Drosophila melanogaster: one gene and its partners. The main gene of each other region encodes a partner of the protein of the gene in region 4 in a complex. Each region holds a gene or a part of one and is shown on either strand. Other genes may lie near its edges.

What was found.
Region 1: skd (region 4) and kto share a complex: the UniProt entries of both Drosophila melanogaster proteins name them as parts of the cdk8 module of the Mediator complex.
Region 2: skd (region 4) and Cdk8 share a complex: the UniProt entries of both Drosophila melanogaster proteins name them as parts of the cdk8 module of the Mediator complex.
Region 3: skd (region 4) and CycC share a complex: the UniProt entries of both Drosophila melanogaster proteins name them as parts of the cdk8 module of the Mediator complex.

What each region holds. Positions count from the first base shown.
Region 1 is NT_037436.4:19,833,336-19,841,867, forward strand, and holds the start of kto (kohtalo), read left to right. Parts: upstream 1-3,278; 5' UTR 3,279-3,340; coding exon 3,341-3,953; intron 3,954-4,014; coding exon 4,015-6,682; intron 6,683-6,756; coding exon 6,757-8,470; intron 8,471-8,528; coding exon 8,529-8,532. Other genes in the region: trc (tricornered), read right to left, coding at 275-757; CG32221 (uncharacterized protein), read left to right, coding at 1,466-1,955, 2,019-2,710, 2,786-2,902. UniProt on the Drosophila melanogaster protein: Component of the Mediator complex, a coactivator involved in regulated gene transcription of nearly all RNA polymerase II-dependent genes.
Region 2 is NT_037436.4:9,835,222-9,842,679, reverse strand, and holds Cdk8 (Cyclin-dependent kinase 8), read left to right. Parts: upstream 1-4,009; 5' UTR 4,010-4,074; coding exon 4,075-4,205; intron 4,206-4,267; coding exon 4,268-5,501; 3' UTR 5,502-5,600; downstream 5,601-7,458. Other genes in the region: RasGAP1 (Ras GTPase activating protein 1), read left to right, coding at 17-212, 1,117-2,118; I-2 (Inhibitor-2), read left to right, coding at 6,175-6,471, 6,534-6,631, 6,700-6,867, 7,247-7,341, 7,398-7,458. UniProt on the Drosophila melanogaster protein: Component of the Mediator complex, a coactivator involved in regulated gene transcription of nearly all RNA polymerase II-dependent genes.
Region 3 is NT_033777.3:14,884,912-14,892,188, reverse strand, and holds CycC (cyclin C), read left to right. Parts: upstream 1-1,983; 5' UTR 1,984-2,131; coding exon 2,132-2,719; intron 2,720-2,779; coding exon 2,780-2,995; 3' UTR 2,996-3,185; downstream 3,186-7,277. Other genes in the region: UQCR-C1 (Ubiquinol-cytochrome c reductase core protein 1), read right to left, coding at 1-238, 313-404, 466-836, 899-1,227, 1,287-1,493, 1,763-1,831; CG33332 (uncharacterized protein), read right to left, coding at 3,230-3,394, 3,455-4,339; CG33331 (uncharacterized protein), read right to left, coding at 4,579-5,607; Rrp6, read left to right, coding at 6,247-6,354, 6,429-6,610, 6,723-7,277. UniProt on the Drosophila melanogaster protein: Component of the Mediator complex, a coactivator involved in regulated gene transcription of nearly all RNA polymerase II-dependent genes.
Region 4 is NT_037436.4:21,022,243-21,030,631, reverse strand, and holds the start of skd (skuld), read left to right. Parts: upstream 1-3,197; 5' UTR 3,198-3,492; exon of another isoform or gene 3,493-3,704; intron 3,705-4,427; exon of another isoform or gene 4,428-4,502; intron 4,503-5,083; 5' UTR 5,084-5,611; coding exon 5,612-5,680; intron 5,681-8,389. Other genes in the region: CG10584 (uncharacterized protein), read left to right, coding at 1-207; Pdss2 (decaprenyl diphosphate synthase subunit 2), read right to left, coding at 741-1,547, 1,727-1,916, 1,975-2,324. UniProt on the Drosophila melanogaster protein: Component of the Mediator complex, a coactivator involved in the regulated transcription of nearly all RNA polymerase II-dependent genes.

The DNA of each region.
Region 1 (8,532 bases), 1.2 Mb from region 4:
GAGAAGAAGTTGACAAAAGAGAATCGAGAAAAAAACAACAAAGGCGGCCCACGCAGAGAATGAGAGAGGAAGCGAGAGAGCAAGAGAGACGTGACCATATGATTGGCAAAGGCGCTTTTGGCATTTGCCGTTGTATTGGTTTATTGATTTTTTTGTCCGTGTTTTAACACAATTCTTTTGTTATGTGCGCTGCCGCCCGCTCCTTCACCCCATCACCCTTTCTCCCACCCACCCTATATCATTGTTTTTGTTGTAGCTGGCGCTCGTCACTCACCTGGAAACTGTAGTACATCTTCACCACCCACTGATGATCGGCCTCGACCAGGACATCGCGCTCGGCTCGTACGTGTGCCACCTGCTCCTTTTCCAGCATGTCCGCTTTGCGCAGCACCTTCATGGCGTACACATGTCCCGTGTCCTTTTTCTGCACCAAACGCACTTCACCGAACGCGCCGCGTCCGATGACTTTGAGGGCCTCAAAGTCCTCCACACCGAGGCGCAATCGCTTCAGCCGGAGATACTCCGTCTCCTTCTGGGCATGCTGCAGACGCTTCTCCTGGCGCTGCGCCTCCGACAAGCTCTCGTCCTTCAGCTGAGCCTCCAGCTTTGCGAGGCGCTGCTTTCGCTCGCCATACTGCGTCACCAGGTTGCTGTAGTAGTTCTCCAACGTCACCTTGGCCTTGGTGGCCTTGTCCAGTGTGTGGTCGCTGAATCTGATCGAGGCACCGTCCGCGTCCTGCGTTCTGCTGCTCATCATCTAAGCTGGGGTTTTTGTCCTGGTCACCTCGGTCCTATTTGGGGCTTGTGTGTGTGCTCCCTGCGATGTCGGTGCGTGTGCGTGTGTGTGGTGAGGAGTTATGCACTTGCCAATGCACACACACTGCTTTCTTCGCCCGTTTCTTGCCTTTTTCCTCGGTAATTTGTTGAAATTCCTCCCTCTGCTGCTTCTTCTTCAAGAGCCATTCGCATTTTGCATCCCCAACAAAGCAAAGTTGGCTGCGATCCAGTGGGGCTATCGATAGCTAATCGATTGATTTTAGAACTTTAGTGCTTTTGGCTCGCAGATAGTCATGACAATTAAGCTTTCACCGACAATTGTATAAAATTTATGTACTGAAATTACGTTACTTATTACTTACATTGATTTTTTTAATTAAAATTGATTAAATTTAAATTTATTTAAATTTACTTTAAGGTCATGTTATTATTTACTGTAATTCTATTAAGAAACAAAGCTTAAACAATAGTTAAAATATCTTAGCTTTAACCTTTTAGCTTGAATCTTGCCAAAAGACTCTTACTTCGAAAATTGTCATCACTGCCACCAGTCCAATTAGTAAATAAATAGAACTTACCGACTTGGGATAAATTTTTCCATGTCAGGCGTACATAAACCAGTTGCCTTTGCTAATCTGGCCATTTGGCGCCTGTGACGGTCCCGCGCAATGAGCATAGTCAGCTAATAATGGCCCGCATCACCAGTATTCTGGACTTGGACCCCAGTTCTCTGTTGTTCATCTTCAAGCTTCTAAGCTTGGAGGACCAGTTGCACTTGGCGCGATGCTGTCGCATTTTTAGGGATGCCTTTCTTCGCCTGCATCGCCATGATTTCCAGGATGTTGTTGACAAGGATATGAGTATAAGGACTCTGGAGGATTGGCGCACCTTTCTGTGGCTCTGTGGCAGTCGCATCGGTACACTGGAATCCCACTTTGACGATGATCACCCGCTGCAGCTGCTCCCGATGATCAGCAGACACTGCTACCGACTGAAGTCCATCTCTATATACAATGCAACAGTGGCACGGGCGCAACCGTATTTATTGAGGATGAGCTCCCTGGAAAAGGTGCACGTGCGTAACTACAAGAGCACCAGCAAGGATCTAATAAAAGCCATTGGGATACACCTTCCGCGGGTCAACAGTCTGAGCCTGGAGAGCTTTGAACGCAAGGAGTGTAAGAACTATTTAATGTTCACCTTATCACAACAATATTATTTAATTGCTTCTCCCTTCACAGTACAAGAAGTACGTCAGTTTAGCGAGATGCTGGAACTTGGCTTGTACGACGACGTGACCGCCTCGGAATTCGCAACAATTGTGAAACCCATGAGGAAGCTGCGATGCCTTCAGCTGCGCAACGCCAAACGCTTTCTGACTACCAGCAATCTCAGGATGCTGGCCACCAACTGCCGCCACCTGGAGAAGCTGACGTTCAATGACTGCGACGCCGATCTGTTGGTCCTGCCGCAGTTTGTAAACCTCAAGTACCTGCAATTATACTGCTCGGAGGATATGAAAACGCGCCTGTTCAAGGCACTGGCCAAAAGCCAGTGCTCCATTCAGTTGGAATACCTCATCCTGCACCGCAAACGCTGGATTGACGAGGAGCAGGCGCAGTACATCAGTGCTTTGAAGTGTCTCCGGTGGCTGGTCTGCAAGCCTCGTGACGATCTGTGTGTTCACCACTTGGCGAAGTTGAGTCGATTAGAGTGCCTTTCCATACAGTCCGCTCGTGAGATTGGAGAAACGCAGCTCTCCCTTTTGGTGGCCAACAATGAGCGCCTTCGGTATCTGAACATTTGCTATTGCCTGGGCATCACAGACGCCTTCGTCTTGGACACGCTGGCCAGCTTATCGAAACGCTCAGCTCATCAAACCCTAGAGCTATTTGCCGCGGCCACTGACATTAGGCATGACATCATGGAACGGGTGAGTAATATTTAAAGCACATACATATATTCGAAAGTCCTTATGTTAATGTGACACTTTGTGCTTCGTTTGCAGCTACCGCACGAATTTCCCCTGAAAATGCTCTGTTTGAACTTCGAGTGCAGCGATGGAATGACAAGCGGCGGACACTTTTATGCCGATGAGCCGGAATTCGATCGCCAAGCCTTGTGAGGCCTTATTCGTTTAACAACGAATGTTTCTTCAATCATTACCAAAAATACAACGTAAATTATTTAATATTTATACGCAGCTTTATTCGTGATCTTACCACTTTGAGTGGTATTTCTTTTGTTAGTGCACAACGATGTAACTTTTTCACTGCATAATTAAAAAATTACGTCATATTTAAAGTACTGTATCAGGTTGATTGGGGATGTGTGGCTGAACATGATAAGATTACATTTGTAATATTTACAACCATTTAACACTTAGCTTAAATTCGATTGCATCCGCTAGATTGTTCGCGGGATGTTATCGAACTATCGATGGCTCATCGCATTTTTTCGCCCCACCACTGATATTTTGATTTGTTGTTGGGTTGGCGAACAGAGGAAATCGGGAATTCGCTAAGAAAATCTGTTTATAAAACGCAACTAGAGGGCCGCGAAGATGCTGTCCATGCTGCAGGAGAAGCGTCCGCTGAAGCGCACCCGTCTGGGTCCGCCGGACATCTATCCGCAGGACGCGAAGCAGCGAGAGGACGAGCTGACGCCCACGAATGTGAAGCACGGATTCACGACGACGCCACCGCTGTCCGATGAATTCGGTACGGCCCACAACTCGAATGTGAACGCCAGCAAAGTGAGCGCATTCTTTAGCGGCGTCCTGGCCAAGAAGGAGGAGCTGATGACCCTGCCGGACACGGGGCGCAAGAAGCAGCAGATCAACTGCAAGGACAACTTCTGGCCCGTTTCGCCGCGTCGCAAGTGTACGGTGGACGCCTGGTTTAAGGACCTCGCCGGTAACAAACCCCTACTTAGCCTAGCCAAACGGGCTCCATCGTTCAACAAGAAGGAGGAGATCTTCATTACTCTGTGCGAGAACCAGGTGAACATGCAACGCGCCACCTGGTTCATCAAGCTGAGCGCCGCCTATACGCTTAGCTTCACCGAGTCTAAGAACAAAAAGCGATCCATTTACGACCCGGCTGCCGAGTGGACCGGCAACATGATCAAGTTCATGAAAGAGCTGCTTCCCAAGCTCCAAGAGTATTATCAGCAGAGTGAGTACAGTCCTTAAGTTCTATAATCTATCAACTCCCTTATTCAACTTCTTGATTTTAGACCACGACAAGTCCTCTTCGAATGGCACCACTTCCGGAAGCCTGACCGCCGCCGGTAATGGTCCTGCCAGCAATGGCTCCACTGGCACCAGCTCTATTAACTCCGTCACCGGTAGCAGTGCTTCCACGAACGTAATCCCGGTACCCAGCATGGCCAGTCCACTGCCACCGATTCATAGCCCAGCTAATGGCCAACAGGCAGCTCCTGGCGGAGGAGTGAATGCCGGCAGTGTCATGCCGACGACGGGAAGCCTTGGCGGAGTAGTCGGTGGGCCGGGGTCTTCTGTGGTAGGAGGCGCAGCGGGTGCAGGAGCTGCAGTTCCACCAGGCTCTACAATTTCTGGAATTGGAAGCCAGTTCGAAGATAGTCGCAATGCGCTTAAGTATTGGAAATACTGCCACCAATTGAGCAAGTACATGTACGAGGAATCACTTTTGGACCGACAGGAATTTCTAAACTGGATCCTCGACCTTTTGGACAAGATGCGTACGCAGGCAAGCTTCGACGAACCGTTGAAGAAATTGGTGCTCAGCTTTGCCCTTCAGTACATGCACGACTTCGTCCAGTCGGAGCGTCTTTGCAGAAAGATGGCCTACATAGTGTCCAAAAAACTGGCCCAGTTGCTGAACACTGTCGTAGAACAGCAGACCATCAAAGAGTTGGACGAGCCGAAGTTGCAACAAGATCCCTATGAGCTGGCGCTTCAGGAACAAATGAGTTGTCCCCATCATCGGGATATAGTGCTGTATTTAAGCACGATCCTACAGATCATCACAATCGAGTGCCCCACAGCTCTGGTCTGGAGTGGGATAGCAGCTCACCGAGCACCCTCCTCGTTGTTGGGTAGTCCGCTGGACCATTTGCCTTTGGCGCCCTCAGTCTTGCCGATGCCCACACGCTGTCCGCGAACCAATCACGAGATTCGACGTCAATTGCGGGCCGCCGAGTCGGACATCGTATTGCGCACTCAGCATGCAGAGCAGCGCTGGTTTGCAGCCAAGTGGCTGAGTGCCGGCAAGAATCAATACACCAGTGTGCTGGCTACACTGGACCACTTGGACACGCACTGCTTCGATCGCATGGAACACAATAATAGTATCGATACCCTATACGCACAAATATTTCCCAGCCCAACTGTCAGTCGCAGGCGGGAGGAGGATCAGGTGGAACCTCGTCCGCCTTATGAACCCAAACAAGACAAGGACACGGTACGCATTCTGTGCGAGTGGGCTGTGTCGGGGCAGCGTTGGGGAGAACACAGAGCCATGGTGGTGGCCATTCTACTTGACAAGCGCCAGATCGACGTGACAAGCACGCCGGCGGATCAACAATCCAGTGATAAGGATGACAAGGACTCGCTAGCTTCGGGCGCCGGCTTAATTGATGGCCTGCCTGTGTTTCAGCACGTGTTAATGCACTTCCTTGACCACGATGCTCCCGTCCTCGATGAGCACGTGAGCAGTCCACAGCAGCGCACGGAATTTACCAACCTTGTTCAGCTGTTCAGTGCATTGATTCGCCACGATGTCTTTTCGCACAACGCGTACATGCACACTCTAATTTCACGAGGAGATCTGCTCCTGGAGTCGGTGCTGGTGATCAAATCAGGAACAACGGCCACGAAAACATCGCCGCCACCTCCAGCTCCACCACCAACGACGACGCACGGTTTCGATGATGACGGATTCGGCGGGGGCCTGGACTTCAAACACAACGAATTTGATGATTCCAATGTGGACGACGATTTGGACAAACTGGTGCAAAATATTAAGGAGAAAGGACAACAGCACGAAGCTCCAGACAGTCCCAAGATTGGTCCTCCAGGCGATGGAGAAACCAATCCTGGCGGTAGCATATCGCGGCATTACGTGTACACCAAGCACTTCCCCATCCCCCAGGATGATCCCAGCATGAGCAGCTACAGCAGTGAAAGCAACCAGCGATACATCCTGCTCTTCGGAGTCGGCAAAGAGAGGGACGAGAAGAAGCATGCTGTCAAGAAGATGTCTAAGGAAATTGGAAAGCTTTTCACAAAAAAGTTTAGCATAGATGTGGCGGCGGCCGGTCATGTGAAGAAGCACTCGCGCAACGAGTTTAACTTCGAAGCTACCACGTCCAAGTGCCAGCAGATGGCTTATTTCGACCAGCATGTGGTCACAGCCCAATGTGCGGCCAATGTCCTGGAGCAGCTGAACGGATTCGCGTTAGGGAACAACAACTACCTGCCGGTACAGGAGCACGTGGCGTTCCTCTTTGATCTGATGGAGCTGGCTCTTAATATCTACAGTCTTTTGGAACTGTGCGATAGTCTGTTGAAGGAGTTGCCTGAGGTGGAGCACCAGTTGCAGCTAAAGAAGTCAAACCTAGTGCGCAGTTACACCACTTCACTTGCCCTCTACATCGTCAGCATCCTGCGGCGCTACCACAGCTGCCTTCTTCTTTCACCGGAGCAGACGCTGTCTGTTTTTGAGGGAGTCTGTCGTACCATTCGGCACGTATCGAATCCGAGTGAGTGCACTTCGGCGGAGCGCTGCATTATTGCCTACCTGAGCGACCTACACGAGTCGTGTGTTTTGCTCCAGGGAAAGGAACAATCCACGGAGTACTACCAGCAGCTGCAGTGCATCAAGCGGTTCAAGGACATATTCAACACTCCAGAGCAGCTTGAGTGAGTTTAGATCGCAAGTTCTTCCCCAATAATATAATATATAATATTAACAAATATTACCATTTTTTATTTAGCCTACCACCTCAGGGTTACAACCCACTGTTGTTGCAGGAGCTTTTCATGGCCCCTCGACGCGGTGGTAAACTGGATCCTCACTGGCTGGGAACCCTGCACGAGTCGCCGGCCAATGTATACAGTTTCGTGTCTAACGCATTAATAGCCGTCTGCCGAGAGACGGACAACGAGCGGCTGAACGATGTGGCCCTCGCATGTGCCGAACTGACCGCCAGCTGCAACGTCTTGTCTGAGGAGTGGATATACGCACTGCAGAGTCTGTGCAGCGGCAGTAAGAGTCCGCGTTATCCGCACCTGGGCGGACAGGTCGACATTGGACAACTTAAGACTCACAACGCCCTGGCCGTGTTCGTATGCATTCTGGTGGCCAGACATTGCTTCTCACTAGCCGACTTTGTAAGTAAGTTCGCCCTGCCTACATTGGCCCGATCGGTAAGCGCTGGTGGAGCCGAACTGAGTGTAGATGCAGAGGCAGGTGCTCGTCTTACATGTCACTTGGTGCTGAAGCTGTTTAAGACCTTGGAGATTCCTCAACCTGGCATGTACTCGGTAAGCACTTCCCCGAATCCACTGCACGCTGTGGGAAACGACTTTAGCATTCGGCTGAGCTGCGATCGTCATCTTCTGGTGGGTGCCCATAAGACCATTCCCATTGCCGCAGTGCTTGCCGTGCTCAAGGCCATTCTCATTGTTGTGGACAATGCGGCGCTTAAAACACCATTGGCTTCCGGCAGCGGCACCTCCTCTGGCGGATTGGGCGGAGCTTTTGGAAGCGGCAAGCGTAGTGGCTTCAATACACCGGTCCATCCGGGAAGCACACCCAAGAGCAACGAACAACGACCGGCCGATCTCAGCCAGATCCTGGGCACCAGCGATTTACAATTGGGCAGCAGTTTGACAAGCGAACCCGAAGCCCTGCAACAGCCATCGGTCGGAGGAATGGAGCAGATCTCGCTGTTGGAGTTCGCCCAGGCGGTGCTCAAGCAGATCTGCGCCCAGGAACACGTTCTGGAAAGATGCCTAAAGAACGCAGAGCAACTCTGCGACATGATAATCGACGAAATGCTGACCGCGAAACAGGCACAGCGGGTTCTGCACATGATCTGCTATCCGGAGCCTGAGTTTAACATCATCTCCGAACTGGATCAGCGCTCAATGATCGTACGCATACTAGAGAATCTCGGACAGTGGACACTGCGTATCTCGTGGCTGGATCTTCAGCTTATGTACCGCCAATCGCTGAGCAACAACGCGGAGCTTAATGTTTGGCTCGACACAGTGGCACGCGCGGCAATCGACGTCTTCCACATGGAGGAAGTTGTCCTGCCGGGTGCCGTGAAGGCGACCCACAAACCCAAACCGTCCACCTGGCTAGTGGCTCCACTCATCGCTAAACTAACACCAGCGGTGCAGGGCAGGATACTTCGAGTGGCTGGTCAGGTTCTTGAGAGCATGAACTATTTCTCCAAGGTGTCCAAGTCCGATTGCAATAGCTCGGGCAGTGGTGACGAGCGCGAGAAGAGCAACAGTTGTCACAGTAGCAATAGCTATGGACTGGGCGGCGTGCCCGCACGCAACAAGAAGATGCCGCTTGATTATCAGCCTTTCCTGGGTCTCATCCTAACTTGCCTGAAAGGCCAGGACGAGTACAAGGAAAACTTACTGGTTTCGCTCTATGCCCAGTTATCACAATGTCTGCAATCCTTTGCTGAGGTGAGTGTTTACTTTCTATCCTTAAAGTTAAACTTACTAGTAACATGACTCCTTTTAGCTGG
Region 2 (7,458 bases), about 11 Mb from region 4:
CCCTTCCTCCCGACAGCCTGATGACCAAGTATCCGACATCCCGGAAGCGTTTTGGCCGGCAGTTCAAACAACGCCACTTCCGCCTCACCACCCACTCGCTCAGCTATGCGAAGTCGAAGGGCAAACAACCCATCTGTGATATACCGCTCCAGGAGATCGCCAGCGTGGAGCAGCTGAAGGACAAGAGTTTCAAGATGCAGAACTGCTTTAAGGTGAGCATTCATTCGATGTGCTTCGATTTCAATTGGTTCGGCTGTGATTTGCATGTGTTGCAACGAATAATGCACACGAGAGCAGTGGTGTGCCGGAAACGTGCGATCCACGCCACATCTATAAATAGGCAGCCAAAGCCCACACACCTCCGGGCAGTGATGGTAATTTAGCTGGTGTTACATGCTAGATGGTTAGGTTGCGAACTTGCAAAGCATTAGATGGAGCTTACATGTCAGAAAGAATAGTAGGAGTTATAGTTAGTACTCTAACTTTCCAAGCGTTAAACTTCTTTAGAAAGCAAATAAATCCTATAGCCGCATAGTTCTTTCTTTTTAGTCTATCTATAATTAGGTTTCATTTCGTTCTAAAAAAAAAACATCATCACTGCCTCCGGCGGCAAGCTCATGACTGAACGATGTGACTCTGTGTGGGCGTAGAGCAGTGGCTGCTAATCGATGGCGGCAGCAGGCAGGCCCATCCTCGGCGACAGTGAAAACCGAACCTCCAGTCAGTTGCCCGCGAAACTTTCACTAATCACTCACAGAGTTTTGTGTGGCAAATGACAAGTTGCGGCAATTAAAAATAATTAGCATTATTATGCAGATGAACTGGCGGAGCTCCGCTTTGCGTACGCTATTGTTATTGCCATTTGAAGGTAGTAAGGCAAAAAAGGGAAATTTCAAAACCTAGAAACCAATGCAGCCGACGCAGAAGAGAATCGTCAACGTGGGTGCGATTTCTTGGCGTTACGTTTTCTTATTTTTTAACGCAGCCAAGATGTGGGAATTGTCTCAGCCAGCGATTTCACTTGGGTGCGATTGTTTTGCAATTGCGCCGCGCACAGAATTTATGTTAATTGCACAAAGATGAGACTAAGATTTACTTTCGCCTCTTCTCCCACAGATTGTGCACAACGATCGCTCGCTGATTGTGCAGACAACGAACTGCGTGGAGGAGCGCGAGTGGTTCGACCTGCTGCACAAGATATGTCTGATGAACTCCATCCGGATGCAGTACTTCCATCCCTCGGCCTTTGTAAGTGGATTCTACAGCTGCTGCGGCCGGTCGGATGAGAATTCACCGGGCTGTAAGAAGGTGTTGGACAAGACGATGGACTACTTCCAGATGGATTTAGTAACGGCGCTGGATCCAGCGCTCGATCTGCAGCGCATCCACACGCTGATCATGTCTAACATGAGTGTGCTGGAGTCACTGCTAGATCCGCTCACCTATCACCAGTCTCTGTCGCAGACGCAACACCAACAGCACAATCCTCTGGTGCCGCTGGCCACCGATCTGCAGAAGCATTCACCACAGGCCTTCGCTGAGTTCAAGCGAACGATTGAGAAGCTGAGAGAGAAGGCCTATGCCATCGATAGAGATCATCGGGACTACAAGCAGGGCATTACGCGGCAACTGAAATACGGCAGCAGACAGGCACCCATTGGCGATGATAACTATTGGCATATGATGCGAGCCGCCGGCCAGTTGAATCAGCAGCATCACCAGCAGCAGCAACATCAGCAGCAACAGCAACAGCAGCAGCAGCAGCAACTTCAGCAGTTCCAGCCGCAGCCAGTGCTGCCGCAAATGCAGAACGTTCGGGCGTATCCTTATCAGCCAGCTACGAGCAACATGAACGCCTACTGTCTGCACAACATGCAGTATCAGCAGCAGAGATTGCCGTTCCATCAGCAGCAACAGCAGCACCATCAGCAGCTCCAGCAACAGCAGTCGCAGTTCCAGCCCCTGCGCAGCCATCAACTGCAGCGCCACAACAACAATTTGAACAACAATAACTGCGGCAATGGATCCTCCTCCAGTCCATCATCGACCACATCAAGTGTGGTGGCCGCACCGCCCAGCACCACATCGTCATCGCAGCCAGCTCCACCGATTTATTAGCGTTCAAGGCTGTGCGTATTCGCTTTGCCGCGGGCCATTATCACGACCAGGTAAAGGAATACGCATCGATGTGGCAAACACAACCCCCTACCGCTCCTACGCAACCAGAGGATGCTGCTGTACAAAACGATTAATTGTGCTAATTTCTAGGCTCTTGTTTTTTTTTGTATCATTTTTACGAGTTTAACGTTGTAAAGGTCTAGACTAAGTTTTTTTAATTAACAGTTTTTATACACCAGATTTTTACGGTACCGCCTACACCAGCTACAACAACACGAGGAGAAAACAAGAGGAACGGAAACGAAATCTAAATATTTATAAGCCTATTTATTTTTTTGTATGTGCTAACATTATTTTTACACGAAAACAAAATACCCAATATGGAAAGAGCATTTCTATACTTGTGTGAGCGCAAAGAGGGCAGAGAACCACTGAAAACTGATAACTTTATAAGCCTAAACTACTAAAAACTCAGAAACTGCTAAGATTTTTTAAAGCCTAGCCTAAGTTAAGTATCGGCGGGATGATGAGTAGCGAAATGAAAATGAAAAGATGTAAATAGCAGATACACGAGTATATATATATCCCACAGTATGTATGTACATGTGTATGATTAACTTCATTATACCAGTTAATTTAGGCGTAGCAAAAATTTCTAAAAAATCAACTAAACTAGGCGTTTTGCCCAGAGGCGACACACGCGAAAAGCAAATAATTCTAACGCAATCTGAACGCGAGAAAAATACTGCGAAAAGCATGAAAAAAACATACATTTACATGTATATTTACTTTATATAACTGTCATACAGCTAATGTTAAACAACACACGATATGTATTCGGCAAATTCTAGAATACAAACAAAAAGCATTGTTAAGAACAAATTTACTTCCATTTTGCATATACAAACACATACGCACGCACACCTATATTTATTAAATGCATTTAATTTCATATTAAACTTAAAACGAAAAACAAGTTAATTGTTACACAAACACGATTTGGTTAGCTTCGACTTACTTCCACCGATTTGTTTCCAAAGCTCTTCCATATTAATTACACATGTAATTTACATCTAGAACTAGAATGTTAAATAATCTAATTTTTGCCATATTTAGTTCAGTGTTCATCAATCGCATTGAAAAGTGTCTTCCTTCGCCGCGTTCAATCATATTGCCTTTTGTTTATGCATTCCAATCCAATAATTTGTGCATTTCTTAATTCTAATATCTGCATAATGTACATAGAGATACGAAACGGAGAAAGAAACACGACGAGATGTTGCTATGAATTTAAATTGTTTGGAGTTTCCAACGTGGTTCATATACATATAATTTCACTTGCATTTTAAGGACACAATTATAGTTTACTTTTACCATGCCTAGCTGATAAGTTGTTGGTACAAAGAATCGAAAATAAAAACATAGATATTTTCCAAGGGAAAAATAAAGCGTATCGCCAATGGATAAATTTTGATTTCGTTTTCTTTTGAGTTTATTATTGATAGAGCTTTCATATTTTATTGTGATAGGATTATACAAGCACCTTGTCAAGTACTATTGGATTACCTATTTTTCTATATAACATCCAATATATATGTATTTGATTTGGTTCAGAATTCAAAAATATTTAGGGGGATTATATTTCTATTTTCTTTCTTTCTTTAGAAACAAGTTTTTTTTTTACGAGGTTGAATGAAATATACAGAAAGTTTTTCTGGCTTTGCTTGTTTGTGGATACAATAGAATTTTTTAAACAGTAAACAAAAAATTAAAAAAAACAAAATTATAAAAAAATGTTTTCTGTTTTAAAAGGCTAGCTATAAAAAAAGCTAGGTATGGCGAGCACTGTTCCCATTTTCCATCCCTGGTTAAGGCTGTGTTATCGTTATCGGGAGACAGCTGATTGGCGGCATCTTCATTTACAAACAATTGTGGAATTTGCAAACTTTTGTAAAAATGGACTACGATTTCAAGATGAAAACGCAGATAGAGCGTACGAAAGTGGAGGACCTATTCAACTACGAGGGCTGTAAGGTGGGACGCGGAACATACGGCCACGTCTACAAGGCGAAATGGAAGGAGACAAGGTGAACTGGTCATCGGGTGCTCTTCAAACAATATAAATAATTATAGTATTCATGTTCTTTAGCGATGGCAAAGAATATGCCTTGAAGCAGATCGACGGCACCGGATTGTCCATGTCCGCCTGCCGCGAGATCGCATTGCTGCGCGAACTGAAGCATCAGAACGTAATTACCCTCATCCGGGTGTTTCTGTCGCACAACGACCGCAAGGTGTTCCTGTTGATCGACTATGCGGAGCACGACCTGTGGCACATCATTAAGTTCCATCGGGCTGCTAAGGCCACCAAAAAGCAGGTTGTGGTTCCCCGCGGTATGGTTAAAAGTCTGCTATATCAGATTCTGGATGGGATTCACTATCTGCACAGTAATTGGGTGCTACATCGTGACCTGAAGCCGGCCAACATCCTGGTGATGGGCGATGGCAACGAGAGGGGCCGCGTAAAAATCGCCGACATGGGTTTCGCGCGGCTCTTCAATGCCCCATTGAAACCGCTGGCAGATCTGGATCCCGTGGTGGTTACCTTTTGGTATCGCGCTCCGGAACTGCTGCTTGGCGCTCGTCACTACACCAAGGCTATCGACATCTGGGCTATTGGCTGTATTTTCGCCGAACTACTCACTTCGGAGCCCATCTTCCATTGCCGCCAGGAGGACATAAAGACCAGTAATCCGTACCATCACGATCAGCTAGACCGCATCTTCAATGTGATGGGCTTTCCGCAGGACAAGGACTGGGAGGATATCAAGAAGATGCCGGAACATCATACGCTGACAAAGGACTTTAAACGCTCCACATACTCCACCTGCTCGCTGGCCAAATACATGGAAAGGCACAAAATAAAGCCAGACAGCAAGGCCTTTCACCTGCTGCAGAAGCTGCTGCTAATGGATCCCAACAAGCGCATCACCTCCGAACAGGCCATGCAGGATCAGTACTTCCAGGAGGAGCCGCAGCCCACGCAGGACGTGTTCGCCGGCTGCCCCATACCGTATCCCAAGCGTGAATTCCTCACCGACGACGACCAGGAAGATAAGTCGGATAATAAGCGACAGCAGCAACAGCAGCAGCAACAACAGCAGCAACAGCAGCAGCAACAGCAGCAGCAACAACAACAGCAGCAGCAGCAGCAGCAAATGAACGCTGAGCCGAATGCAAAGAGAGTTCGATTGTCCGGAGCTGGTAACCAGCAAGATTTTCACCACCAGCAGCAGCAGCAACAGCAGCAGCAGCAACAACAGCAGCAGCAGCAGCAACAGATGATGTTCAATCAGCAGCAGAACTTCCAGCGCTTCAACTGAGAGACTGATACATGCAGCATTTTTTCTACAACACCTACTAATTTCTAGCCTTCTAAGTATTTAATTTAATGACCTTGATAATAGCAAGTAAAGTGTACGATATAAAACGTTGATTTTTAATGGACAGGGTTTTCTTTATTTAATTTTGTGAACTCCAATTAACTCAAATTCGTTGAAATATCTTTCCGAAGGATATTCAAAAATAAATTTGAATGCATGTTCTTTCCTCTCAAAAATGAATTTCTCAAACGAAGTTTTGAAAACTATTTTTAAAATTGGTTCGAGTCTGAGCTATTTATTTAAAGCATGTTATGTTTTTGTGTCGGCTTGGGTCACGATACGCAAGTATCGATTAAATGTAATCGAAGGTGCCATCGCTGTGTTGCCAGCTCTAGTAGAATTTGTTAGAATATTTTACCGGATTTGCCATTTGCTTTGCAATACAAATTAGAAGAGAATATCCACACAGTGACCATTAAAGCGTAAAGAGCCAAATCTAACGTTTTCCAAATTAAGATCAAAACCGCCCGTCTGGCGACATCGATGAGATCGTGGCCCTCGCCCAAAACCCAGCTGGCTGCCAACTTGAAGATTGTGGCGTAAATTGCCCTCCGGAAACGCAGTTGCAATTGCAGTTAACAGGCGAAAGTCACACAAGTAAGTGGGATTCGGAATGGAGGCGGTGGTGCAGGCGGAGGCGGACGACAACAATGCGTCGGATGTCCAGCGGGGTGTTGGTGGGGCATTGCTGGCCGTAGTGGCCACCCAGTGGGCGGCAATGGCAACCCCTCCAAGGGCACGAGGTTTCGCCGCGACCTGTGCCATTATAATCTGGCGAACATCGCGATTTCAGTGCCTGTTCGGCTACTGCCGCCGTGATTCACGATTGTCCAGCAGCAACAGTGGCAGCAGCAACAGAAACAACAACCATAAAATCTACGAAATCATCAATGACTCCCAACCGCCTGACGTAATTATCCGCGTGCATTGTTCGCAACTAAAGCACACTCTGGTCTTTGCCCATTGTTACAGGTAACACAGATAGCCAGGATGCAGAACAATCCCAGCCCACAGCTACCCTGCAAGGGTATACTAAAGACTTCGCGTAGCTTCGACAAGTCGGGAGCCAGGTGAGGTCATCGAATGACCCCAGTTAATAGCCCTTATTAATTGGTTTCTTTTTCATCCTTTTAAAAAGTTTTCGCAAAAGTGCCAAGTTCGATGAGCTGAACGTGATGCAGACCTTCCATCCGGCCGACAAGGACTACGGACACATGAAAATCGATGAGCCCAAAACGCCGTACAACTACACGGAGGGCTTCGACGAGAACAGGGACGAGCTGGACACGGAGTTGCTAGTGGAGAAGTATGTGGAGCTTTCCTATTGTTTACTTGCTAAATGGTTTGGCAAGAGCACAGAGTATCAAGTTTCAAACAAAACTGATTTCCAGAAAATGCGCCGTTCACATTTGTTTGTTTACATGTGACTTATAGATTCAGAGATTAAACAATCGTTGATAATTATACGATTTGCAAAATGATAATCAAATATATCAACATTATTGAGCAATATGACTGCCTCAGATTTCTTAAGAATATAACTAGCTAAATTCATAATCAATAATTTGTTTGAAAAGAAAAAGTTTTTTTTGAAATTTGAAGACTTATTTTAAAGCCGTGCCAGTCATTTTGTAGTTTACATATTATTGCACTTACAATTACTAAAAACACATACTAATTTGCAGACTCCGCATAGCGGCTAACACACAGCCGTCGACAGAGAGCATCGAGGACGATGGTTCCTCCGGTGATGACCAGCCCCTTAGCGAAGAGGAGCGACGTAAGTACCATGAACATCTCAGATTCCAACAATTGCTCAAACATATTTGCTTGCAGAACGGCGGCGCGAATTCGAGCGACGCCGTAAGGCCCACTATCGCGAGTTTGAGGCCGTCAA
Region 3 (7,277 bases), on a different chromosome or scaffold from region 4:
TTGCGACGTCGCGCACATTGCCCACACTCACGGCATCGATGCGCTGCTCCAGCTCGTGCAGCGGGATGCGGCGGTTGTAGCACAGGATCTGGCGGCCAATGTCCTCGCAGATGGGTGTGGTGCCGTCGAGCTGCAGCAGCATGTTGGTCTTCAGAAGGTTCTTGGCGCGCTCGACCTCAGCCTCGGTAACCATGGTGCACAGACGCATCCACTCGGTCTGCACGTTGAAGAGCATATCCTGGGGAAGAGGTTTGTTTACGTAAAATTTGCTTTCTCTCGAGAGTTTTCTGTTGAATCATTAATTCTTCTTACCTCGCACTGCAGAGGGTCGCACACGAAGTAAATGCCCCAGAGTCCGGTGTCCTTGTAGCATGTGTTGAACGATTGGAAGCTGTGGCAAAGGTCTGTAGGGCAATAATAGTTAATAATCTCCATATCCTGGTCGTCTTACTGATGTACACTTACTGTCCTCAGCGCTGGCACGGGCCAGGTTGGAGGCGTTGTTGGCGCCACCGCCTTGGGAACGATCCCAAGCACCCACCAAGGTGTTGGCCACCATCAGGGGGATGTTGTCCTGGTCGGTCCAGCCGCAGCCTTCGACGGCGATGGCGACATGGGCCAGGGGCAGGGAATCGTCGCGCACACGCACCTCGGAGCCGGTGAAGCGGCAGGGAGTCACCTCCGCGGGCAGCACACTGGCCTCCAGGCCACCCAAGCTGCTGCAGGCAAGCTTGACCAGATCATCGTGCTTGACGCCGCCAGCAGCGGCCAGAACGATGCGCGAAGCCTTGTAGTGGGTCTGGATGTAGTCGGTCAGATCGGCCTTGCCAATGGACCTAAATAAATGAAGATTTTAATTAGAGACAGAGCATTTGTTATAAGAGCTGAATATACGTACTGAATGTTCTTGGTGGGTCCCAGGATGGTCTGGCCCAGAGGAGTGCCCTGATAGGCGGTGGCGTGAAGGTGATCGAAGACCACCTCCTGCAGGTTGCTCTCCACCTCCTGCATCTCGCGCAGAATCACCGAACGCTCGCGGGCGATCTCAGCCTCACCCAGCTTGGAGTTCTGGATGATGTCGGCCAGGATCTCGACGGCTTTGGGCACATCCTTGGACAAACACTTGGCGTAGAAGACGGTCTGCTCCCTGGAAGTGTAGGCGTTCAAGTGGGCGCCCAGGTTCTCAACCTCCAGCTCCAAATCCGTTTGCGAGCGCTTGGCGGTACCCTAAAAAGTGGCAGAAACGCATATTATACGCATTTAAAGCATCAAGCTAGTGAGCCAACCTTGAAGGCCATGTGCTCCAGGAAGTGGGCCACTCCGTTGTTCTTCTCGTTCTCGGAGCGCGACCCAGCATCGATCCACAGTCCCACGGTGGCGGTAGAGGCACCGGAATCCTCGCTAGCCACGCGGAGACCGTTGTCCAGCTTGGTCACCTGGGTGGCGGGTATGTTCAGCAGAGTCTTCTGTAGGGTGGCAGCCGACTTGTATCGCTGTAAGTTCGGGAAAATTGGGAAAACTATAGCCCAGAGTTAAGTAAAACACGAACATAACCTCAAAGTGCTTGTAGTGGGTTTTCCAAACAGTTTTCCCAAATATTTGTTTGAAAAACTGGATGGCTCTTGAATAACTGACCAACAAGAGGTTGTTTATCCCTTTTCTCACAAGAATAAACCACAATTGCAACCAAAAACACAATCATTTACAATTACGTAATTTAAATCCTCGGAAGCGTAATCATTGGATGGCTGTCTGGACTTACTTTGATCATGTCAACGCCCCGCATGAAGGAGCGCATATTCTGCGTCACGCCAAGAACTCGCAACGCCATCGTTTTATTAATTCGTTCAATAGCCTATTACTAAAAAATATTTAAGACTTTTTCGTCTGTGGCCGCGGCGCTGATGAAAAATTCACACACACACACCAATGTACTGCGCTGCGCAAAGTTGGCTGCGGCCAGTCAGCTGTTCGTGGAAAATAGCCCTGGTGTGCACACACTGGCTGAAACGGCAACACAATTTTTTCGTTTTTCCTGGTTTTCCGGCTTGCTATTGAAATAAACACCTAATTTGGATAGCTAACACGAAAATATTGGCCGACCTAATCAGCTAGGCCTACTAGTTACGAAATGGCGGGCAATTTTTGGCAGAGTTCGCACTCGCAGCAGTGGATTTTGGACAAACCCGATCTGCTCCGGGAGCGTCAGCACGATTTGTTGGCCCTTAACGAGGATGAATACCAAAAGGTGTTTATTTTCTTCGCAAATGTGATCCAGGTGCTCGGCGAGCAGCTAAAGCTGAGGCAACAGGTCATCGCCACGGCGACGGTTTACTTCAAGAGATTCTATGCGAGGAACTCCCTGAAGAACATCGATCCTCTGCTGCTGGCGCCCACTTGCATCTTGCTGGCCTCGAAGGTGGAGGAGTTCGGTGTCATTTCCAATTCACGACTGATCTCGATCTGCCAGTCGGCCATTAAGACAAAGTTCAGCTATGCGTACGCTCAGGAGTTTCCCTACCGCACCAATCACATCCTGGAGTGCGAGTTTTACCTGCTGGAGAACCTGGATTGCTGCTTGATTGTCTACCAGCCGTACAGACCGCTGCTGCAGCTGGTTCAGGACATGGGCCAGGAGGACCAGTTGCTCACCCTGAGCTGGCGTATCGTAAACGATTCCCTGCGCACCGATGTCTGCCTGCTCTATCCTCCTTACCAGGTTTGTGATCCTGATAATTTCTACAGCTTCCTCACATTTGAAGAACCTATTTTTTTCTAGATCGCTATAGCCTGCCTTCAAATCGCCTGCGTCATCCTGCAAAAGGACGCCACGAAGCAGTGGTTCGCAGAATTGAATGTTGATTTAGACAAGGTCCAGGAGATCGTGCGCGCCATTGTAAATCTGTACGAGTTGTGGAAGGACTGGAAGGAAAAGGACGAGATTCAGATGCTGCTGTCCAAGATTCCGAAACCGAAACCACCGCCTCAGCGTTAGAAGAGCTTCATAATCATTCATCATTAGCTGGTATTGCCCAATTGTGTGTTTGTACTCATATTACCAATGTATTTATGCCAATTAAACGAAAGTTTAAGCTAGGTGACTAAGCAATCAAAAATGTCATTTACAAATTATTTTGCCTTTATAATAATTATTTCTAAATTAAATTACATAATTGCTTAAGATTAACATGCGGTACGGATCGTCTGGATTTTTTATGGTTCATTTAACCTACAGATACTTAGCTTGACCCCTGGAGAACTTGGTGTTCAATATCTTGGCCTTGTCTACAATCTGCTTGGTCTGATTCTTGTCGATCTTGTTAAGTTTCAAGTCCACATCCCTACTAAAAGGTCTTCGTTCTGGCTTGGAACCCGATGCAGCCAGTTCTTTTTCCTTAAATTTATAACAATATTATATCCATATTATGTTTTTAAGAAATATTTTTCCTCGTACCTTTTCTCTCTGCTCTTTCCTAAGCTTTTTTTGATGTAGCTCCACTAGGGACTCCTCTCGCTTGTGCTTCTTTTTGTGCCTCTTGGCCATGCTCTCCTGCTCGTCATCCCGCTGCTGTTCGTACTTGACCTGTGCCATTTGCTCGAGTTCCTTCGAACTGAGCGACTTTGGGCCCGATGCAGCAGCATCCGCTTCACTCTGCGGGGTCTTCGTCCAGGATGATCGATCGCTAAAGTCGGGTCGCTCTTTTCCCTGATAGAAAGTGCGCTTCATATTGCTCAGGGCGGCAAGGCCGCTCTTCAGTCCCACATCTGGCAGCTCAAGCATCCACTCTTCGCGGACATCTTGGTCTGTAGATGTACCCAATCCCCCGCCCTCCAGAGCTGCCAGTTTAAGTGCCAAAGCACGTTCCTCCAGAGCCACTTGACTGGCATTTGGCAGAGGACCAAAGGTGCCAGCTAGGTCATCATCGTCCTCAGCTTCCGCTTCCTTAGTAGGAGACTTTTCCCGGGTCAAATTGCTGGGCAGGACGGGTCCTATCATGGCCTGCGGTTGTGGGGCTGGTTGGCTTTGCTCAGGGAGTTCCGGCTGCTGGGTCTTCCTTAAATGCGGCGGTAAAGCGGGACCAAAGGAATCTTCGTTGTTTGTAGCCACATCTGGCGGAGATGCATTAATTAAATGTGGAGGTTGCGTGTAAGGCACAGGTGGCTCCTCCTCATGCTTGCTGCGTTTCTTCTCCTTGTGGCGACGCTTTTCTTTCTTGTGCTTTTTCGACTTCTTCTTTTTGGACTTGTCCACATCTTTGCTGTGCTTCTTAAGCTTCCGTTTCCTTTGCCTTTCATCGCTGGACGAATTGCTATCACTACTATTGTCGTCGCTGGACATGATCTGCAAATACAATTAATGAAATAATAAGTAAACCAAGATATTCCTGAGGTTATAAAGAGGTCCATTGGATGTGAAAAGAGAGAATCCCCAAGAAAACTCAGGTCTTTGGATTGGGCTAAACATTATATTGCAGTTAACAACTTTAAAGCTTAAAAGTATTTAACAAAATGCAGCTGGATGGGACAACTTAGTCGGTAGAATGATTGGCAGCCAGGGGATTAACCCGAAAAATAAACCTAAACAGCGAATGTCTTTTGAGCCTTGCGATAGCTATACGCCAATGACTTGAGAATGCCAGCACTGGGAATATTTTTGATCGATTGCGTGACACTGCTGCGCCACACAATGTCGTTGACGGATGCCTGCAGCACCTCCGGAAGCTGGGAGGCCATGGATAGGTGATTCACCACCTGGGTGTAGTCGCCACGACAGGCGGCATTTCGCTGCAATCGCTTCTGAAGCTCTCGGGGCAACTGTCGCAGGTGTTGGCATGTAGCCGATGAGGATTTGTCCTGCTCGAAGATTATGGCTGGTTTCCGGCTCCCTGGTTCCTGGCCCTTCATGTTTACCGCCACATAGTCGGAAAGTTGTCCCAGGGAGGGTTGGTATAGGGCGAAGAAGTCATTGATTTGCGGACTAACTATGTTGTGCACTTTCTGTTTGTTTTCCCCGAAAATCATACGGAAATCGCCCTTGTAACTCAGTCCGGCGATGGTGTGGAAAAGTCCGTAGGCAGTGAACTTCTCTGGTAAAAGTAGCAGAGCCACTTGCAGCGCGGATACAAGATTCCTCTCCAGCGCAGCCTTGAGGGGAGGATTATCAGAAGGATTGACCAGATTCGTCACTGGTTTGTGCAGCCTTCCTGCCAAGTAAAGATGCCGCCAGTCAAGCAGATCCTCCAGCAGCTCCTCCTGCGACACCACGCCGTACTTTATGGTAATGCCCACATCTGGCAGAGGCACCAACGTGTTGCAATAGACACCCGCACCCAAACGCTCCTGATACTTGGCCACAAAGTTCGGTCCCAGGTGCCTAAGGGCGGAATAGTGGTCCGGATGACGGTGCAGGTTCTCCGCATGGAAGCCCCTAGCATCACGAACGCAAAAGACCAGATCCACAACGGTTCCCGGCGGAGGACGCAGGTTGTTTCCATTGCCGACTTTTCCATAGCCTTCCTGCTGTTTGACGCCGGATCCGTAGGCGAACATATAGCTGACACTGCCCAGAGGAAACCGCGCCACCGTGCGTCTGTATAGGTCCAGCATCTTGTGCGTGTTTTACCTCCTAATTGGACTAAACTTAGGCTTTATAATTACTTTTTTTTTAGCACGTAACTCCACTTCTTCTGGATGGAGTTGATGCTTCTCGGTCAAGCTCCTCGCTTTTCGCCGGCGCCGGAGGGGTGTACACACTGGCAATCAGCTGGCTGAAAATTTTGTTCAGGGTTTCACTTGAACAATTTAGCGCCCTCTTGAAAAAATAAAAGAAAAGACCAAATATTTAACAAAGAAAATATTTATTCAGTTTAATTTATATTGAAAGGAATATATATTTAGTTCAATATAATAATAACATTTTGCTTTTAAAAAGAATTTGTAAAGTATTGTTCATCAAAGCAGGTTCTGTTTACGGTTTAACATAACGAAATATCACCATTCCAAATTTGGCTAACATTTGTAAAATACACCTTCATATCGATTTAATTCGATTGCGGTCAGCACCGTTTTAGTGCTATATAGTGATCAAATTTCGCCGCCGGTAGTGTTGACAAACTCCAAATTCAAGCTGTTGTTATTCTCAAAAAAGAAGAAGAGAAAACACGCACATTTTCCACAATCTGTAAAACGACAAAAAATTTGTACGAAAATAACACAAGACATTCGACAAGGAAACACTATACAGACATGCCGCGAACCCCGAAAAGAGTTCACCAGGAGGCCAAAGAGGAATCGGCCCAAGCAGACCAGCCGCCAAAGAAATCCGCTTCAGAAGATGTTGAGGCATTCACAAACGTGGGTAGCAATTCAGCCAGCGTACATAAGTATATTTCAATCCAATCCCTACGTGTTCTGCTCTGACATTCCAGAAAGGGTTCAAGAATGCAATCGCCGCCACAAAAGCCGCTAATGCTTTCCCACAAGGAACAGCCCGCGCCCTTTACCTAAGCTATCCAGGCTACGCACGTGTTATGGAAGACCTGACCCAACGGGTGGTGGCGCTCATCGGGAACGTGCTGCACTCCAAGGACATCAAGGGCGACATCAAAAAGTAAGCTTCTAACCATGACATTATTCGAAATGTTGAAAATACAGCACAGCCATTGAAATCAAAGTTGGTACCTGTATCTGTAAATAACAATAGATCTTTATTCTTTAAACAGACGCCAACCGGAAGAGCAGTTTGAGATGGTGCAGGAGTGCAACGACGTACTGTTCGAGCGCATTACGACTAATCTAGACATTAAAGGTGGTCTGCGAAGAAATACACAACAGGTCGTAGAGGCCCAGGTGGACGTGATGAGCAGCTCCACATCCATAGAGCCCGCAGTAGCTTCCCCACAAACCCAAGGGACTCCAAAGGCAGGCAGCTGGAACAGAACGACAGGAACACCCCAACGCAGCATGGTTTCGGCTCGTCTCTTCACCGCCAAGAACATCGTTCGGCCGCAGACGCAATTTAGGGAGCCGGTGGATAACAGTGCCCAGAATCCGTTTGTTCCAAGACTCAAGGAGAAACCTAATTCTCTTAAACCGCTGGCCCTGCTGCCCGAATACGATGATGCCGGCAATGTCCAATCCTATTTGCATCCCTACGAGTTTGAGCTGCTTAAGTTTCAGCCTCCGGAGGAGCAGTTCCAAAAACAAAAGCCAGTGCTTCCAGCTCTGATGGCAGAAACCGAACTAATGGTGGTTGACACGGTGGAAAAACTGAAGCA
Region 4 (8,389 bases):
AGACCCAAAACGATATACATGGCACTGGAGAAGCGCTATGTGTTCACACTGGAGGATTGCGATTCGGTGGCTCCCATGTATGAGTACCTCATCCGGCAGACGGTGAACAAGCCGTGGATCATGGAGCACCTGCCTCTGGATTTCCCCCAGTATTTCGAGTACGATCGCTGCAAGCAACTGGTTCTGATGAAGATCATCAGTCGTTAAAATGCGTAAATCACACATAAAGACGTTCCGCTTCTTAGATTCAAATGGCCCCTCGATGTACCTTAATAATTTAGTTAAATTATGGCTTTGTTACGTTAGGTTGAGATATCACCGGAATTAAACTAATAACATTGATTGTGACGATATTTTTTTTGGAAAATTATTGGCTGCAAATTGGGACTCTTGCCTTGTATTTCAAGGCTGCGAAAAAAATCTTACAGTCTCGAATGTTTCCAAATCCTCCAATTCTATGTTATGTAAATATGAACATACAACCTTTTTTATGACGAACTATATTTTCCCTTATAATAAAAATGAACTTTTGCGATACAAGACGATTTACAAAATATATTTTTGTGACCTTGCACCAAGTATTACTTGAAGTTCAGAAAAATAAAGCATTTAAACTTTACTTTAAATGAATCATTAAAGATTAGTCAACAACGTCTGCTTTACTGAAAAATTACCCAACGGAATAAATACAACTAACCTAAGCCCTGAACCCGTGAAAAATCAGTAACTGCTGCTCGGGATCAAAGATCCTGCATGGCCAGAATGATGTTCTCCAGAGCCTGTCGAGCGTCCGTCGCCGGGAAATGTTGCAGAACGGCCAGGGCAGCGGCTGTGTGCTTCCGCTGCAGTTCCTTGGTTTTGGCCAAAGCCGGCCCGGCCAGAATGGCCTTGTGGATCTTGTCGTAGTCGATGTTATCGACCGACTGCTTGCCAGCCTCCAATTGAGAATACATGCCAGGGTCGTGCTCCAAGTGGAATAGGACTGGAGCACTAACCAGACTGAAAGTAACATCTAGCGGCAGTTGGGGGCACTGAAAAGGTTCGGCATCCAAGCAAGCCTGCCAAGCGAGCGCCAAATGTTTGCCAAAGCGGTAAGCATGTCGCTGCAGTTCCTCACTCTGTCCGGCCAGCTTTAGCGAAGCTTGGCAGGATTTGCCCAGCAGGCTACCCGCATTAAGGATATTACGGCACTCCCATTCCTCCTCCGGATTGCCGAGAACCTGGGCAATCGGCATTGGCGTCATCACGTCGTGCTCGTTGAAATCCACTCCAACGCTGAGAGATGGTCGCTGGAAGGTTCCTGGCTTATAAGGCAGCGGGTTGTTCTGTTCATCACGCTCTCCAATGAATTCCGACTCGGAAAAATCTCGCACCGCCGACGAGATCAGCTCCACCACCTCCTGGTTGCGCAGATTAGCCAGCTCCGCACTGGAATGGCCCAGAAGATAGTCGCCGGTCAGCAGGCCGATCTTGTTGCCAAACGACATGTCGTCGTAGGTGTCCACATCCTGCCCAGCCTGCGTGCTCGATTGCAGATTAACCACGCTCTAAAATGGGACCAAGTGTAAATATTTTTATAATCTATGAGGCATCAGCTCGACCAATGACATATTGATGTTCGTTTCTTGAGTTTCGTCAACTAAATTTGAGGAAAGTTAAACTCATTTGCATACAAACCACTTTCAGTTTACGAGTAACTTTCGAATGCATTTGATCAAAAACTTACATTGTGCACCAGATGAGATATCCGTATCATCTCGGTGACCTCGGCCAAAGCCCTTTGGGAGTGCAGCACTCCGGCACTCTTGTCCTGCTCCACGTCTGGAACACTGGGTGCATGTCCTGCGGCCTTGGACACCAGGAGCACTATCAATCCCCAGGCTTGCATCGTGTTCTTGCCATTGTAGAGCAGGTGCCTGAAGCGGAAGATTCACATAAATTTCAACGCCCTATAAGCCCTTCAGCACCACTCACTTGGCCGTCTTCATCAGCGGATGGGCGCTGCCCACCAGTTTGCGCAGGTGCAGCGCCACATTGGCGATCTCGTCGCTGAGCAGCCAGCGCAGACTGAGGAAGGATGTGGGATAGCCGACGATGCGCTCCGCCTCGCTGACCGCCCTATTCCAGTCGTGTCTCGGGGGCGGGGTCGTAACCTGTGGACTGGCATGCTTTCCACTGGTCGTCGTCGTCGAAGTCCAGCGCTGAGAAGTGAAAGTTTGCAGCGCAGGCGCAGCTTTGGCCACTTGGAGTGGCTGCAGTTCGACGGGAATCCTGCGTCGCATCTGTTGCATAATCCTTAACCCACTGGCGCGGTACATGGCCATTTTCTAGTTATTTTCGCCTACAACACGACTATTTTTTTCAATTGCTTGTATGAAAATCGCGTTTCTTAGCTCCGCTCAGTTAAATCGTTCGTCGAAAAGTGAAATCTTCGAGGTCCGTCGCTGCTTGCGTCTCTGCCGACGTCGCTGTCGGCGTCACCTGCTGCCTACGCTGCTTCTTCTTCTTCCCGGGCGGCCCACTTTTACAGTTGGTCGCTGCTCCGCTCTCAGGTGGCCGCCAAGCGTTCTGTTTGTTTTTATTGCCCCACGCAGTGTCATGGAATTCCGAGGAGGCGGCGCAGGGGGTGTGTAACGGCGGTCTTGAGCGGGAACAGGTTTTCGCACGGCAGCGCCGCTTCGGTGCACACTTTTTGGCCATGGGGAGTACGGTCACTCTTAGGGATGGGAACACAAGTGGCTGGTGTTAGCGATGCAATTGGATGCTAGTGGTGACAAAACACTTATTTGTTTCCATTTTAATAGATTACAAATTCTTCTATTGTACAATTTATTATAGTTTGTATTCACCTTTAAAAAAATTTGTTTTAAGAAGGATCAAACAATCAGTTGACGGAATTGATTCAAACAGAATAAAAATATCTTTTATTTTACACTTCATTCCAATCACTTTACGCATTCGCACCACTTAAACCATTTCATTAAAAGGTTTCTATAACCGTTATTAAATTAAATTTAAGAGATCCTTTATTTATTTATATATAAGATGTGTAATACCTTTGAAGACATAGAACAAATAATTTAAAAAATATACCATTCTAAATTAAGAAGTATTAATTTGTTGTATATTTTGAACTTCCCATTGTGAAGACTTAGTGTTCTGTGGTATTTATTAGTGCTTTTGTGCCACCTCTTTAGTAGTTTTCTGTCTGTGCTAGCTGGCAACACTGGCTCTGCCGCCGACGGCAAGTTTTCCCTCATATTTGTTGCGAATTGTTATAAAAATCGATCGCAGATTTTTCCGTATGCGAATGCGATAGATAAAGTGGCACAAAATGTAAAGATTCAAGACAAGTTTACATCGGTAGTCGGAAAGAACATCAAAAACGGCGATTAAAACGTAGAAAAGTGATCAAAAATGCAAATGCAAAAGCGATTGCCCGAGAAGTGAGAGGGTGTGCGTGTGTGCTGTATGCGTGTATGCGTGCAAGAGGTGCAGCAAATTAAATATAAATAATAATGCCCAAGTGCCGTTGTTTGACAAATAATTGTGGCGCAAAATCATTAAATGATTTTCAAGACGTGTTTAAGCATTGGCAGCGGAAATGTTTAATGGTTTTTAATTGCTCTAGCGGTCGCTGCCCCGGCGGTGTGCCTATGTAGTGTGTGTGTGATTGAAAGAAAGAGGTGGAAAAGGAGGAGAGTGTAAGAAAGAGGAATATGCAACAACTGTGCGATTTTAGTTATCGATGGCATTTTTTTCCGGCTATTTCGAGTGGCCGAAAGTAAAAATCAGAAAATTTGATGTGTACACACACATTACTGCCCAGAAACAGAGAAAACGGTGCGAAAGGAAAACTACGAAAGTGGTTGCTCTGCCATGTAGGTGTATGGTTGATGCGTGTGTGTGTGAGAGGAATGCTGCTGCCCGTCTATGTATCACGTTTCGCACTCTACATATTTGCGTGCGTGTGTGTGCTATGTAGTGTTGTATAGTGCATAATTTATGGAATTTCGGATTTCCTTCGAGTTTCGTTTTAGTTTGAGATTTTTCCCTTAATTTAATCGATCTATGTGCTCGGTCTCTCTCTGTCTGCCTCTCGCTCAAAATGGTTGCATCCCCAAGAGATGCACAAAGAGCGAGCGAGAGCGAGATAAACAGACGCCGACGCCACTAACGCACACGCACACCAATGCATATGCAGTTAGCTGGTAAAACTTGTTTTCTCCCTCTCTCCTCTCTCTCACTCTCTGCTCAGCAAAAAGAGCAAAAGCCGCTATTCGAATTCGGCCGCTACTCGCCCTCTTCTGCTCTCTCGCCACTCGCCGCTGGTACAACTACACTACATACTGGCTATATACCATATATATGGCCGATTCAAAGCTAGGCGAGCAAAATTTCCATTGTGTGTGGCGACCAGCGTTCGCAGTCGGTTCGAAAATTTCTGACTCGTCATTCGTGCGCAAAAAACACTAAATACAACGCAAGAAATTCAAGCCTGAGTAATAGATTAAATATTAATAAATATTTTGAGCTACTGTTGTTTTTCGAAACCAAAAAATAGTCGCAGCTTCGAGTTTTGTGTGTTCACAGTACGTGCGAGTGCATGTGTTGGTGTTTTCCTTGATTACTCATCTTGATTTGCGCTCTATAAATGTGTAGTTCTTTTTGATTAAACATAAATTGGTTGGGTTTGAATTCGAATACAGCCGAAAACTCTTACCTATTTTATTTTGTCTACATCAACGATTAACGAAAATCCAACGACTTTCATCGTCGTTTGTGTGTTTCTAGAAGTAAATGTGTGTGTGCGGTGTATACTCGCTGCCTGTGGCTGAAAAAAGTCAATTTCTGAGTCGCTCTCTCTCTCTGCTTGCTCTCTTTTTGCATGAATGAAACAGCGAATGAACGAACCCTTGTAATTGTGATCTAGATGTGTGTGTGTGATTGAGTGAGTGTAGCAACAAATAAGCAAGTTAAAACAATAAGAAAATTAACTAATAAATGCATCTCTTTCGGAAAAGAAAACATATGCCAAGCGGGAAAAATGTGTGCTCAAAGTCTAATTCTTCTTATATTCCAGCTTTAACCAACAACAACAAAAGCAACATGCTTAATTCTACAGTATGTGTGTTTCATTGCCAAAGCAACGTTTACGCTAACATACTCTCCCCAGAGAGCAGATAAATACAAAATACACATAATAAAAATCAAAACCAAACATCAAATAGCAAATTACAAACAAAATCTAACACCACAACAACAACCACAAAATATCGAAAGTAAAGAAACGAGACGAAAGAGAGCTCTTCATTATTTGTGTATCCGTGTGTGTCGTCTCTCTCGCGTGTGTGTCCGTGCCTATACCGTTGTGTGTGTGTGTGAGAGAGTATTGCTGTGTGCGTGCAGCAGAATCAATAATAAAAAATAAAAATCCAAAATAAAAAGAGCAGAAAAAGCAGCAAGCAAATGTGCAAAATACTACAGAGTATCAAAATCAACAACAAATAACAACACATCGGATAAATAACAATAATAGCAATACACTATAAGCAAACAACGTTGAGAAAATGAGGTGCTGCTGCTGTGCGAAGAAAACAAGCCAAGAACTATGACGCATCAAAATCATCAGACAAACGGCGCAAGTTTGGAGGATTGCCACACAAACTTTTATGCCTTGGTGAGTACTGTGTTGATTTTCTGGGCAATTGTTTCTTATTTTTCGCAATGGGCTTTATTTTTTTTTGCTGCAGTATCTAGGTCAGTGTTGATGATTCAGGAGGGGTTGTTCTCGAGGGGGCTCATTGGCCTGCGGGGGTGTGTCACCCACTCAGAAACAACAATTTACATTACCGATCATGGGATCATCCTCTTCCCCACCCCTCTCTCGCTCGTAATCTCACACTCTTATCGATTGGTAGCCGAAATGTAGGCGCTGCCGGTCAGACACAGCTGTTTGTCGTTATCGCTGCAGAAGCTTCGCAAATATCCTACAGAAACTTAACATGAATGCAGCCACACGAAAATATGTTAAAACCAGATATTGAACTATTTATCATTTCTAATGTTTTACATTATGATGTCATATTTCATTCTTAGGGTCAATTGGCAATCTCTTCTCTTCTTTAATATTTATACATAAAATTGGGGCAATGTACGCACAAAAATTTTGAATGTTGTGATGTTTCAGTGTTTAATAAGTAATTTACTTATCTTTTGGTATGTTGATATCCAACAAATCATTAAATAGCCAAAGTTTAATCACTAAATTGTAATTTTGTTGTTTTTAAAGCAATCAAAACGGTACTGAATTTTTGGTAGAGTGTTAAATTCACTGACCATTTTTTAAAACGTTTAAATTTGTGTATTGCATTTAATTATCACAATTATAAATATACATTTTATAAATGCTCATTGAAATTTTAAACATGTGGATTGTCAAGACACTTAGCTCTTGGAGTATCTAAATAGAATGTTTAGTATGAGGCGTGTAGCTTTCAGTTTTCGGACACGTTCATTCCAACATAGTAAATTTCACGATACTTGTTATTTCTATAAACCTGTAGTAACTGAAAGTAGGAGAATCCGGGTGTTTACTGTAGCAGTAAAAACGGGTGACTTTGTGGCAGCCCACAGCGATTGTTGCTCTGTGACTTTGTGGGTAGCTTTGTGACTGCGGCTCGGTGACTTTGTGGCCCATAACAGGTTCTCCTTTTCCCCGAGACCCAAAGTCGAAACAGAAAACCCAAGACCCGCGACTGAAAACTGAAGACTCGGGGACTACGACTGACGACTAGTTTGTCGGCCCAGCTAGTTAGTGATTGTGCTATTGTCTCTCCGTTTTGGCATATTTCTTTAATGAATCTCGCGTCGAAAGGAGGAGATAGCAGAATGAGAGGGGACGCAGAAGCCGAAAAAATGAAACAGAAAAGCCGAATGAAATAGTCGAGGAAGAAGTGGAGGCGATGACGACGACACGACAATGCGTACAATACAAGTCAACGTGCTTCTGCTCCACTTCCCCGCTCTCTTTATTCCTCTGTGTCTGTTCATGTGTCTGCTTACAACTCTCTTGCAGAGTTTGGAGCAGCAAGAGAGTTGGATAAGTGGGGGGAGAGGGCCGACGCCAACGAAATAACGAAACAATAACAAACGCCAAACTTTCTCTGAGCGAGACGGAGAGCGTGGCGACAGAGCGAGACGGCGCGAGAGAGCAATTTGAACTTGAGAGGCACGCGAGTTAAGTCCGTGATCGAGGGTGGAGCCTTTTGTGAAGATATGATGTGTAAATGTATGAAGGTTTTTAAGTTTCAGCAGATAGTTGTAGTGTGAAGATTTCCAATAAAGAATACGACTGACTTTCTTGAAGTTCAAAATCAGTATGAAGTTTATTGTCAGAGAGTGGCTACTCGAGTCCTCCGTTTTCGTCTTATACATAAGTACATAGGTTCTTAATTGTAAGCATAATGAACATGCCGACTCGGCATGTGGCTGGCTAGCTGGGGACAATGTTGCAGTGCGACTTTTGTGTAATGTCAGCATTCGGCCGGAATGTCAGCATTCGGCCGGATGCGGTGTTCCAGTTGCCGTCTTCCCGGTTGAGTGTCCGATGATTTGTTTAGAGGCGTGGGGGTTTAGGGGGTGGGGTGGTAACTCCTCCCCCCCCAGTTCGAAGTGACGGCCATAGCGAAGGTATGGATGACGCGTAGATTGGTACGTGATGATCCTCGTGGATGTGGACGATGTGTTTCGTTCGTCGGTGCAGCCATAAGATGACTGCTAGGAACGTTACCAATCCGAGCAGAGTGTAGAGTGTCCAGGTGTGCTGTATAGTATTGTGATGGACGGCCAGGATTTTATCCATTGTTTGGGTGGCTTCGAGGTGCAGTTTTTCTAGGCTTAGTACCGTAATAGTGGTATTCCTAGTTACTTTTCGCATGGGGGGAAGATCAAAATCCGTCTGTTCAGGGAACGTGTCAACCGTGCCGTCGTAATCGATACCGTTAATCTGTATTGTTTCGTTAATGTATCTGATGATGGCTGACCCCATTATTGAGAGCTCGGAGCCGTTTGTTAGGGATACCTTCAGTTTGTTCACGTTGAATGCGAAGATGTAACCTCTCTCTGCCTCGAACACGTCGGTGATGGGGCCGGTTTCCCGTACATCGCAGGAACTGTTTTCTCCGTTCAAAAGGTGTTCCAGGCATGTGTTGTTCTGTGGTGTATCAACGTAGAAGTTCTCGTCGCACAAGAATGTATTATCCAGTTTGGGGCATTTACGGGTCATATGAAATTTCTTATTATTAATATTATAAGCTAGGTAATTTGGGGTTATTACAAAATATGTGTTATTTATTGGTAATGGAACTAGTCTGGCGAGGGTATGAAA